Linked DNA regions of Bombyx mori. The main gene of each other region encodes a partner of the protein of the gene in region 2 in a complex. Links are inferred from orthologs where the notes say so. Each region holds a gene or a part of one and is shown on either strand. Other genes may lie near its edges.

Region 1 (4,140 bases), on a different chromosome or scaffold from region 2:
TTTTGCGGTGCAGTAATGAAAACTTTTCGAAGAAAACTTGGAAAGATTAAGTAAAATAAAGACAACATGTAGTTCTTAAACTTTAATTAAAAACGTTGTGTACAAATATTCTACTTGCCGGCATGCGATTAACATTTAATTTTATTACAATTACATATAATCACTGGATGAATATTGAATGTCTAAACCTACCTGTGGACGAGTCATTATAGCAAATTATTATCAAATGAATTAAATTTAAAAGGCCCAAAAGCATATTATTATCTTAAATGAAACTTAACAAGTCTCTCAGACCGTGAGTAGTTATTAGTGTTGCTATATCATAGGTTTTATTTCCTATTGAGTCTGCAGCACCGTGATTTTGATAGAGGCGGATGGCAAAATAATTGTACAGTCATTGCCATTATGAGGAATGTGCTGCACAAGTTCTGATGGTTGTAAAGTGCAAACCAAGCTAATCGTTATCACATTTCTTTTTTTAGCAAAAATATTCTGGTACATACATTATTACTGTTACCATCAGTCGACTAAGTTACTGCGAAATTCATTTCTCAAGAGAGAAAACAGGAAAATCAGCACCAGAATCATTGTTGTATAAAGCTCCGGTAAACTCGAACTGCATTACAATTAAATAGCTACTGCTGTTTGCACTCAGCGGGGTTCTCGGCAGGTCCCTTGCCGGGTTTCTTGGTTCGTCTCCGAGGCGCCGGCTCATCGTCTTCGCTCTCCTCCATCGAGCATTCCTCTTCCTCCTAAATACAACAGCGTTATGGTTAAAACATCGACCGGCACATTGCATTACCAGTGTAAGTGAATTCTGCAACCATCCGCATCGTCTCCGTCAAAACTAACATGCAAAACGAGGTGAAATAAAACACATTTGTAAAAAGCATACAATTTTAATGTCACTATTAACGACATCATGCCAAAAACATAAGAAGCCATTAAAACCAAGTACAACTACCTGAGTGGCTGCCATACATAAACTTTATTATGCCAACTTCAATAGAAAGTTACATAAATAAAAAAATATATCTATACTCCCTAGCTATTGTCAAGTTATCATAAAATATAAATTGAATAGATCACAGTTAGCAATGCTGAAGTGATGAATTTGTTTAAATGCATTTTGGCACTAAGAGATTCAACAAATATTCCGGTTCAAGGACAAGCCTGCCTCGGCAACAGTACTATTGGAATGACAACACATTAAAAGTAAGAAACAAATCATCTTAAGAGATTAATAATATCACATGAAATTTCAAAGTAAAAATAAACGAATAAGCAAAACTCGTGAACAAAAAAAAATACACACTATAATGACTGTATAATAAATAAAAACGAATTTGTTTAACTAGAAATGCATCAGTAGTTTATCATTACAAAAATCTAAGATTAAACATGCATTACACATTAAGAAGGCACCGATCACTTCTCGCAGTCTGCTCTTTCGGAATAGACCTTATATCAATTTCTAAAACATATTTATCTAATCAAAGGATAAATCATGCATAGAAACTTGTAGCGAGAAACATAAATACTAGGGATTTACAAGGAGCCCGACGCGCTATTCTTTAGAATTCGTTTACAATTGATATGAGCCAGATATGATCACGACAGCTAGCAGCACAGCGATGTCGTGTGCGTTTATTTAGAGGTTCCTATGTTATTTGTTGCAATAAATACAAGCGATCGAGTCGGACGAATGCCTCTGAGGCTTATAGAAGGCTAGGGGGGACGGTCTCGTATCAATCCTCCACGTCGGAAACTTCCTCGGTACCGGAGTCTTCGTCAGAGTACGAATCCTCCTGAAACCAAACATGACCGCTGTTGGTTGGGCTGCCTTCACCAGACGTAGATACCGTATGCGTTATATAAACCCACCCTCAGCCCGTAATGCGCCTGCCCTAGATGATTACACTACATAGCAATTCAAGACATCTATCAAGCAATTACTTGATTACGAGATTGAAATTTAGTTTACATGGTCACTATAAGTTTATGAAAATTTTCTATTCTGGTTGAGTTTCATCTTTGGATGTAGACTTAAATGGCAATGCAGTGTTTCAATCATTTACTTCATATAGCAACCATAAAAGACAATCTTTGCAAAGTCCAGTAGGTATACCCAGTCAGCCTATTTTTACCAATTACAGGTTTCACAATCGAATACCGTACCTCCGTCTGTTCAGGATAAGGGATAAATGAAAACGTTCTAAGCAAGCATAATAAAGCTACCATGCATGTACGACTGTAGAAACAAAAGATGGCTGTAGAATTCACTAATTATGCAATCTTACAACTACCACAAGATTAAAAGATAACACTAAAATACTGCACATTTTGTTTCTTCTAGACAACTCCTACTATAATTAACAGATTACATTTAAAAGCAAGCTATTTTTAATAGCTTAATGAAAAGAAAACTATAGTCAAAATCTAGTTTCTATTATTTTGAATTAGTGTTAAAATCATCAAAAAGAAGGTTATTTAAAATATATCAATATGTCCTATACCATAATATGCAGGAATAGATCAGCTCCAATTAATTTTTTTCGCAATAATATTGACAACACTAGAAAATATCGATATGTGCGAAAAATTTAAAATTCAGTTAATGACTTTCGATATCAACTGCTATATGTGAAATCTGAACATACCTCTTCTTCATAATCGTCATCGTCATCATCCTCGAGTCCCTCGCCGGTGTAGAGCAGCACGGCACGAGACACGACGCGCTCGCGGATGTAGTGACCGATCTCAAAGTCCGCAGTCAACAACGCCTACAACGTTAAGTTTAGTTTATAATTCTGCAATATTTATGTTCAACATTATCAATGAAAATTACTGTTTCAGTTGGTGATGCATGTTTCGTTAATCATTTTATTTCAGTTATTGGTGTTGAAAATCATCATGAAGAATGAGCAATAGTTTTTTTTTTTTGATAATTTTCCATAAAATTATTAAAAACTAAATGTACCTGTACATCAGAGGCGACTGTAGAGTTAGGATCTTCCGGCAGAGTTGGTGGGTTAAAGAAATTGAAGAAGGAGTCAGCTTGGACGGACTTAGTGACAGTGCGAACTGACCCACGGGACTTGTGCTTCTGTTTCTTCTTTATGGTCTTGACAGTTACGTTTTTACCAGCATTCCAGTTTATTTCACATCCCTAAACAAACAACAACAATAATCTATCTATATATCTATATATATATATATATATAAAAATGAATTGCTGTTCGTTAGTCTCGCTAAAACTCGAGAACGGCTGGTCCGATTTGGCTAATTTTGGTCTTGAATTATTTGTGGAAGTGCAGTGAAGGTTTAAAAGTTAACATAAATATGAAAATGCTCGGAATTAAACAAAAACAACAATTTTGTTTTTTCTTTAATGTGTTCCCGTCGGACAGATTCCTTTTGTTTGTTTTAAGTTTATTTTATACAAAAGTTTAGGTCTTTTATTTATCGATTGTGGCACTACGAAGTCTGCCGGGTCAGCTAGTAATAATAATATATTTTAGTGTTCTTCTTCTATAAAAAAAATCAATAATAGCAAAACAAACCTTGCAAGAATAAATTTCAGGACCTTCAAATTCTAATGGACTCTCTTCATCGGGCTTGCACTTCATTAAGTACTCTTTAGTAAGTACTGTATTTGTGAAGTATTCATTTGGAGCAAAGTAGAATTCCAGAGTGAAGCTTATGGGGTCTTCATGCATTTGCACTGAATTAGAAAAAGCTAATTAATTCTTAGAAAATGTAGATAATTAAATTGTCATGTCAATAATTGTGATAATCAGTTGGTGATGCATGTTAAAAAATCAATCATAATTTTCAGAATTTGGTGTGAAATGTCATCATGTAATTTTATTGATTTTTATTGAGAAGCTAGGTGAAAAAGCTGACAGTTCACCTGGTAAATTGAAATAAACGAGTATTGCTAATAATTTAGCAAATGTCCACAAACTCAACAAACATACCTTTAATATCTTGCAAGCATTTTAGAATTGGTTCATCATGTTCTTGCATCATTTCGCTGAGCATTGAGACATTCCTGAATATGTTGTACCAAAAGTCTGGGATACCCTTTACATTGGGATCCATTGGAGGCCTAAAATGTGCATATAATTATTAAATAAA
Region 2 (4,671 bases):
CGGACCCTTAGGCATCGAAACTTTATGTATGAGGTTCAACCCTCTGTTGGAAAGAAAAAAAAGGGTTAAGTTTCAAACTCTTCGAAGAGTTCGATGAAATCGGGTACTAGGCCCCCTATGCCTGCTCCAAAAGCTAGCGTGTAGATACTTAATAGTTTGCTTTGAAACGTTAGTGAAACGGTTGGATAAAACAAACCTACGGAGCGCATAGGAGACATACCATGAACGCTTATGCCAACTTTAAGATATCATAAGACTGAAGAATAATTGCGTAGGTGCAACGATTCCACTACCCTGTAAACGATAGTGAATAAATCGATATTTCATATTAATATTCTAAAAATAGTACAAAAAGGGGCAAACAAAAGCTGCCATGATTAATGTAGCGACATCTGTATACCTTAAGAAGCAATACCAAATTACGTAGGTGTACCGATACGTGTAAGACGAAATATTATTAATTTATCTGATTCTACGCCTGCTGCAACTGTGACACTAACTATTATAAAGCAATACACTAGAAGTAATCCCGTAAAAACCTGAAGCGTGCTGAATACATTTAAAAGATAAGCTTGCATTTAATTACTTTGCAATTTTTTAACAACTATATCTTCTCTTTCTACTTTACCCTTAAACGTGTACGATAGTGCCTTGTGCGATAGAACCTACTCCGGTAGGTAGTCTCTTCAATTTTATAGATTTTTTAGTGATATCAATGGCAGACGAGTCTGATACATACGGTTGTAAGTAGTCGTAATGCGGACCACAAGCAAACCTCTCGTATAACGTTGTAAAATGTTCAAATAGAACACAATTTTTTTCATTTTTGATACCTATGGACTTTGGTTTACAGGTAATAGGACGTCTTGTGAGTCCGCACGAGTAGGTACCACTATCCCGCCTATTTCTGTAGAGAAGCAGTAATGCGTTTCGGTTTGAAGGGTGGGGGTAGCCGTTGTACTGAACTGTGACCTTAGAACTCATGTCTTAAAATGGGTGGTGGCATTTATTTTGTAAATGTCTACGGGCTCCGGTAACCACTTAATACCAGGTGGGCTGTGAGCTCTTCCACCCATCTAAGCTATAAAGAAATAAAACCTCTTTATTACTCACATGGTATACTCAAAACTCACAAAACTATATTTTTTGGCGACTTCATTAGAGGAGTACTTAATTCAAGACGTATGTAAGATCTTTGTTCTGCATTATTTTCTAACTAAATGAAGTCTCCACAAAACATATTAAAAAATTTACATTTATAATACAGGTTTAAAAGTAGGTGCAGATGTTAAAGTCAATTTTCAAATTATTCGGTAAAACGGAACGTATATTTTTTACTAAGAATTCCGAAAGATGGCGGTTCCGCTGCATAATTTATTGACGCATGCGCCACACATTGCAATCAGCTGTCAGAAAGAATTTATTCTTGTAAAAAACAAAATTATTAGTGTCTTCAGATAATTCCCGTCAAATATGGCGGGGCAAAATCCAGGATCACCGACCGACTTTCAATATTTTTATGAAGATGAAGTTTATAAAATCAACAACCGGGGCCAAGTGGTTTTCGGCCTAGTGCTCGAGAACTATGAAGCTAACTCCAGTGACCAAGAGAGCGACATTGAAACACCTATACAAAAAGGAGAAATTCGTGTTGTATGGCATCCTTCCGGCACAGAACGCGTTATATCTGAGAAATCGGTAAGCAAGAATACAAACCAAATGACACGATCACAGGAGACACCGGTTTTAATTAATCATATTTCCATAAAACGATTTTAAATCAATGTGATTGTACGATCTGGGTAGGATGAGTGCAAAGACCTTTTTATCTCGTGTCATAGATTTAGTTTTAAGATGACTTATGACACATCTGAAATAATTGCGAGGGTAAAAAAATAATACCGTTTGCTACGTCGCTAAAAAATTTAGCGTAAACGATTCACAAGGTATTTAGAATGTCGAAAAATAGCAGAAAACCTTAACCAGTCAACTAACGGGAAAATTATCAAATAAAACGAATGTTCTTTATCTTATTATTCTAAACTAGAAAACAAAATCCTGAACATTAAATAAGTATACAATAACATAATAGTAATTTTAATATTTAATAAAAGAAACAACATTTTTTTGTGGCTACAATAGATTTTGTTTCATCGAATTCCAAATAGAATATCTGCCGCGTTTCTAATGATATTTATCTCTAATATAAAATACACTTGAAAAATAATATAGATAAAAAACCAACTGAAGAAACGTTCTTCATTAAATACCAGTAATTAATTCTGTAACCTGGTGCTAAAGGGGCTGAAGTATGTTGTTTTGTGAAAGAAGATTATAGTGCCAGTTTATTGAAACAATAACATAAAATTTAGTGCTTTTGTGTTTAGTTTCTCAGTAAAATTTCAAAATTTACTATGTGAATTTAGAGGGTTTTAATACAGTTTATTTAATTTTATTGATGGCTCACACTTCTAATGCTTAATAATAATAATAATAATGGCAGTGTTTAATACACTATAATAATGATACTGATTTTAGTCCCACATCAAATCATAGGTTTAGGTTCAGATGTATATTTGCTAATGATTCAATTCATTTAGCTTTAAATGATAATGAATATCTAAATTGACATCTTTGCATTTTTCTTGACCAGACAGTTGCTTACTGAACACAGTATATCAACAGTCCTCACATGTATTTCATTGTGATAATTATTTGTGAGCATTATAATGAGGGCATGTATTAATTTGGTGTTTGTCTTCTTTGATTCTTATGGTAGACTAATAGACAATAACATGTGAAATAAGAAAACACTGTATAATTTTGTAGTAAATTATGATTCATTTACATTAAAACATGGATACAGTATAAAGATAATAAAAACCAAAAAAATTCAAACCAATATTATTTTTTTGGCATTATTGTGCTCTCCTCATTGCTATCATAAAAGGCCTTAGTTCAACATCTTTTAAACAAATAGCAAGAATAAAAATAAGTGTATTCAAGTACAAACAAGCAAAATTAATATGAAACAAATAGCAATACTTTTAGCTTATTAAGAATTGTTGTAGGGCTTGAATTTACTAAGCCAACTCGCAGAGCTAATAGTTCTATTGGAAATGCAAGTTCATCTGTCAGTTGTCTTTGTAACTGTGGCTTGCATGTAAAATCATTGTTAGATATGTCCAGTTACGCCCTACTGTTCGAGCACTGTACTGAACTACTTTAACTTTTTAACACATTATAATATAGTCTTCTTTGTACTTTGATTTAGTGAATATAATCTAAAAAATGAAATTCTAAAATTGCTCTTATTAGTCTTGTGTGACTGTGAAAAGTAAAGTATTAGAAATGTTTGAAATAATATGTAATATAATGATAATAATAATATAAATATACCATAAAACTTATAATAAATAATGTAAATCAACCATAGAGAGACCACAATATTTCCCCAAGAGGTGGAATATTTTTCAAAATAATTTGACATTCAGCTAATATATTATAAAAATTTGTTATTCCTAAAAGAATAAGATTTATATATAAGCTAGTTGAATTTTGTGAACAGGTGGGTCTGGCAGACAGGTCCCTTATGCCAGGTGATGTGGTTCGTCGCCTCATCGCTGGCAAGGATACCCAGAGGGGATATTGCCGCGACATTGTAATGACGGCCGCCTTGCAGATCGTGGGCACGAAACACGTGATCCCCAGTGTAGCAAGTGAAAGACTTCAGCCTCTTGAAGAATTTTCCCCTGATTTAGCAGTTTGTCTTGATTCATGGGTTGGCACTTCTAAGGTTAGATTTTGATTTTTTAACTCTAAATATCTGTGTGATTATCTAAAGAACATTTAAATGGAGATAGACATTTTAAATTTATTAAGAGAATACAAATTGATTAAGGATGTTTCAATATAATTGTATCCCAAAAGTACTCTATAAGTGCAATGAGTGAAATTATTTCCCAACCATATCTAGTTATTTTAAATTAATTTCTCTATTTGATAATGTCCTGATAGAAACACATCCAATCGTCTAAATTACAAAATCAAAAGATGTATTGACCTCAAAAACAGATCATATTTTAAAAGTGTTTCTCCAGGCCGTCCACAGTAAACTACGTTTAGTATCCTCCGATGGATCACGTCTCGAGTATTCAGACCTAGACACGTGCCCTCTCGAGGACTACTCCATGCGACGTCGACGCTCCACGCCGTACTCTTCGTCTGAATATTATCCTGGACAAGTGGTTTACGGGCCTCTGGGTTCTTTGGATAACGCCAACTGGTTGCACATGACTAAGGAAATGAAGGCTGCTAGAAAACATAAGATGCATGATCATAAGGTTTGAAATTTTTTTATTGTGTAAGTAAATTTTTCTATATTAAAAAGTTTCATTTTTTTAAATTATAATGATATTTTTTTAAATAGTTTTTAATTTAGAGATATATTATATCATTACATAATTTGAAACCAAAACGATGGCATGAAAATCATTTTAATCACAATGATATTAAAAAAGCTTATATAGCCTAAATAAAAACTACACGACAAATTCCTGTAACGAAATATACTACACATAAAAAAAAACTGTTCTAAACAAGTTCTGTCCTAACAACATCCATCCCAAATAGTTTTGAAATACCAATAAACAAAAATGGTTCCTTATATGT

Evidence for each region. Proteins that work in one complex are often made in the same cells at the same time.
Region 1: the proteins of (E3-independent) E2 ubiquitin-conjugating enzyme (region 2) and nucleosome assembly protein are in contact, whole or in part, in a cryo-EM structure (PDB 7UN6), measured with the Homo sapiens proteins. The link is inferred for Bombyx mori from reciprocal best matches to the Homo sapiens genes UBE2O and NAP1L1. Residues at the interface, in NP_071349.3 of Homo sapiens: Ser225, Asn226, Val282, Lys283, Pro284, Val285, Lys289, Ser290, Lys291, Phe292, Arg293; in NP_001317160.1 of Homo sapiens: Arg333, Arg337, Thr343, Gly344, Glu345, Ala346, Ile347, Asp349.

What each region holds. Positions count from the first base shown.
Region 1 is NC_085120.1:5,045,386-5,049,525, forward strand, and holds the end of nucleosome assembly protein, read right to left. Parts: intron 4,112-4,140; coding exon 3,981-4,111; intron 3,871-3,980; exon of another isoform or gene 3,790-3,870; intron 3,725-3,789; coding exon 3,564-3,724; intron 3,170-3,563; coding exon 2,981-3,169; intron 2,784-2,980; coding exon 2,661-2,783; intron 1,809-2,660; coding exon of another isoform or gene 1,749-1,808; exon of another isoform or gene 753-1,748; coding exon 636-752; 3' UTR 70-635; downstream 1-69. UniProt on the Homo sapiens protein: Histone chaperone that plays a role in the nuclear import of H2A-H2B and nucleosome assembly.
Region 2 is NC_085123.1:4,182,097-4,186,767, forward strand, and holds the start of (E3-independent) E2 ubiquitin-conjugating enzyme, read left to right. Parts: upstream 1-1,344; 5' UTR 1,345-1,473; coding exon 1,474-1,698; intron 1,699-3,568; coding exon 3,569-3,796; intron 3,797-4,100; coding exon 4,101-4,343; intron 4,344-4,671. UniProt on the Homo sapiens protein: E2/E3 hybrid ubiquitin-protein ligase that displays both E2 and E3 ligase activities and mediates monoubiquitination of target proteins. Negatively regulates TRAF6-mediated NF-kappa-B activation independently of its E2 activity.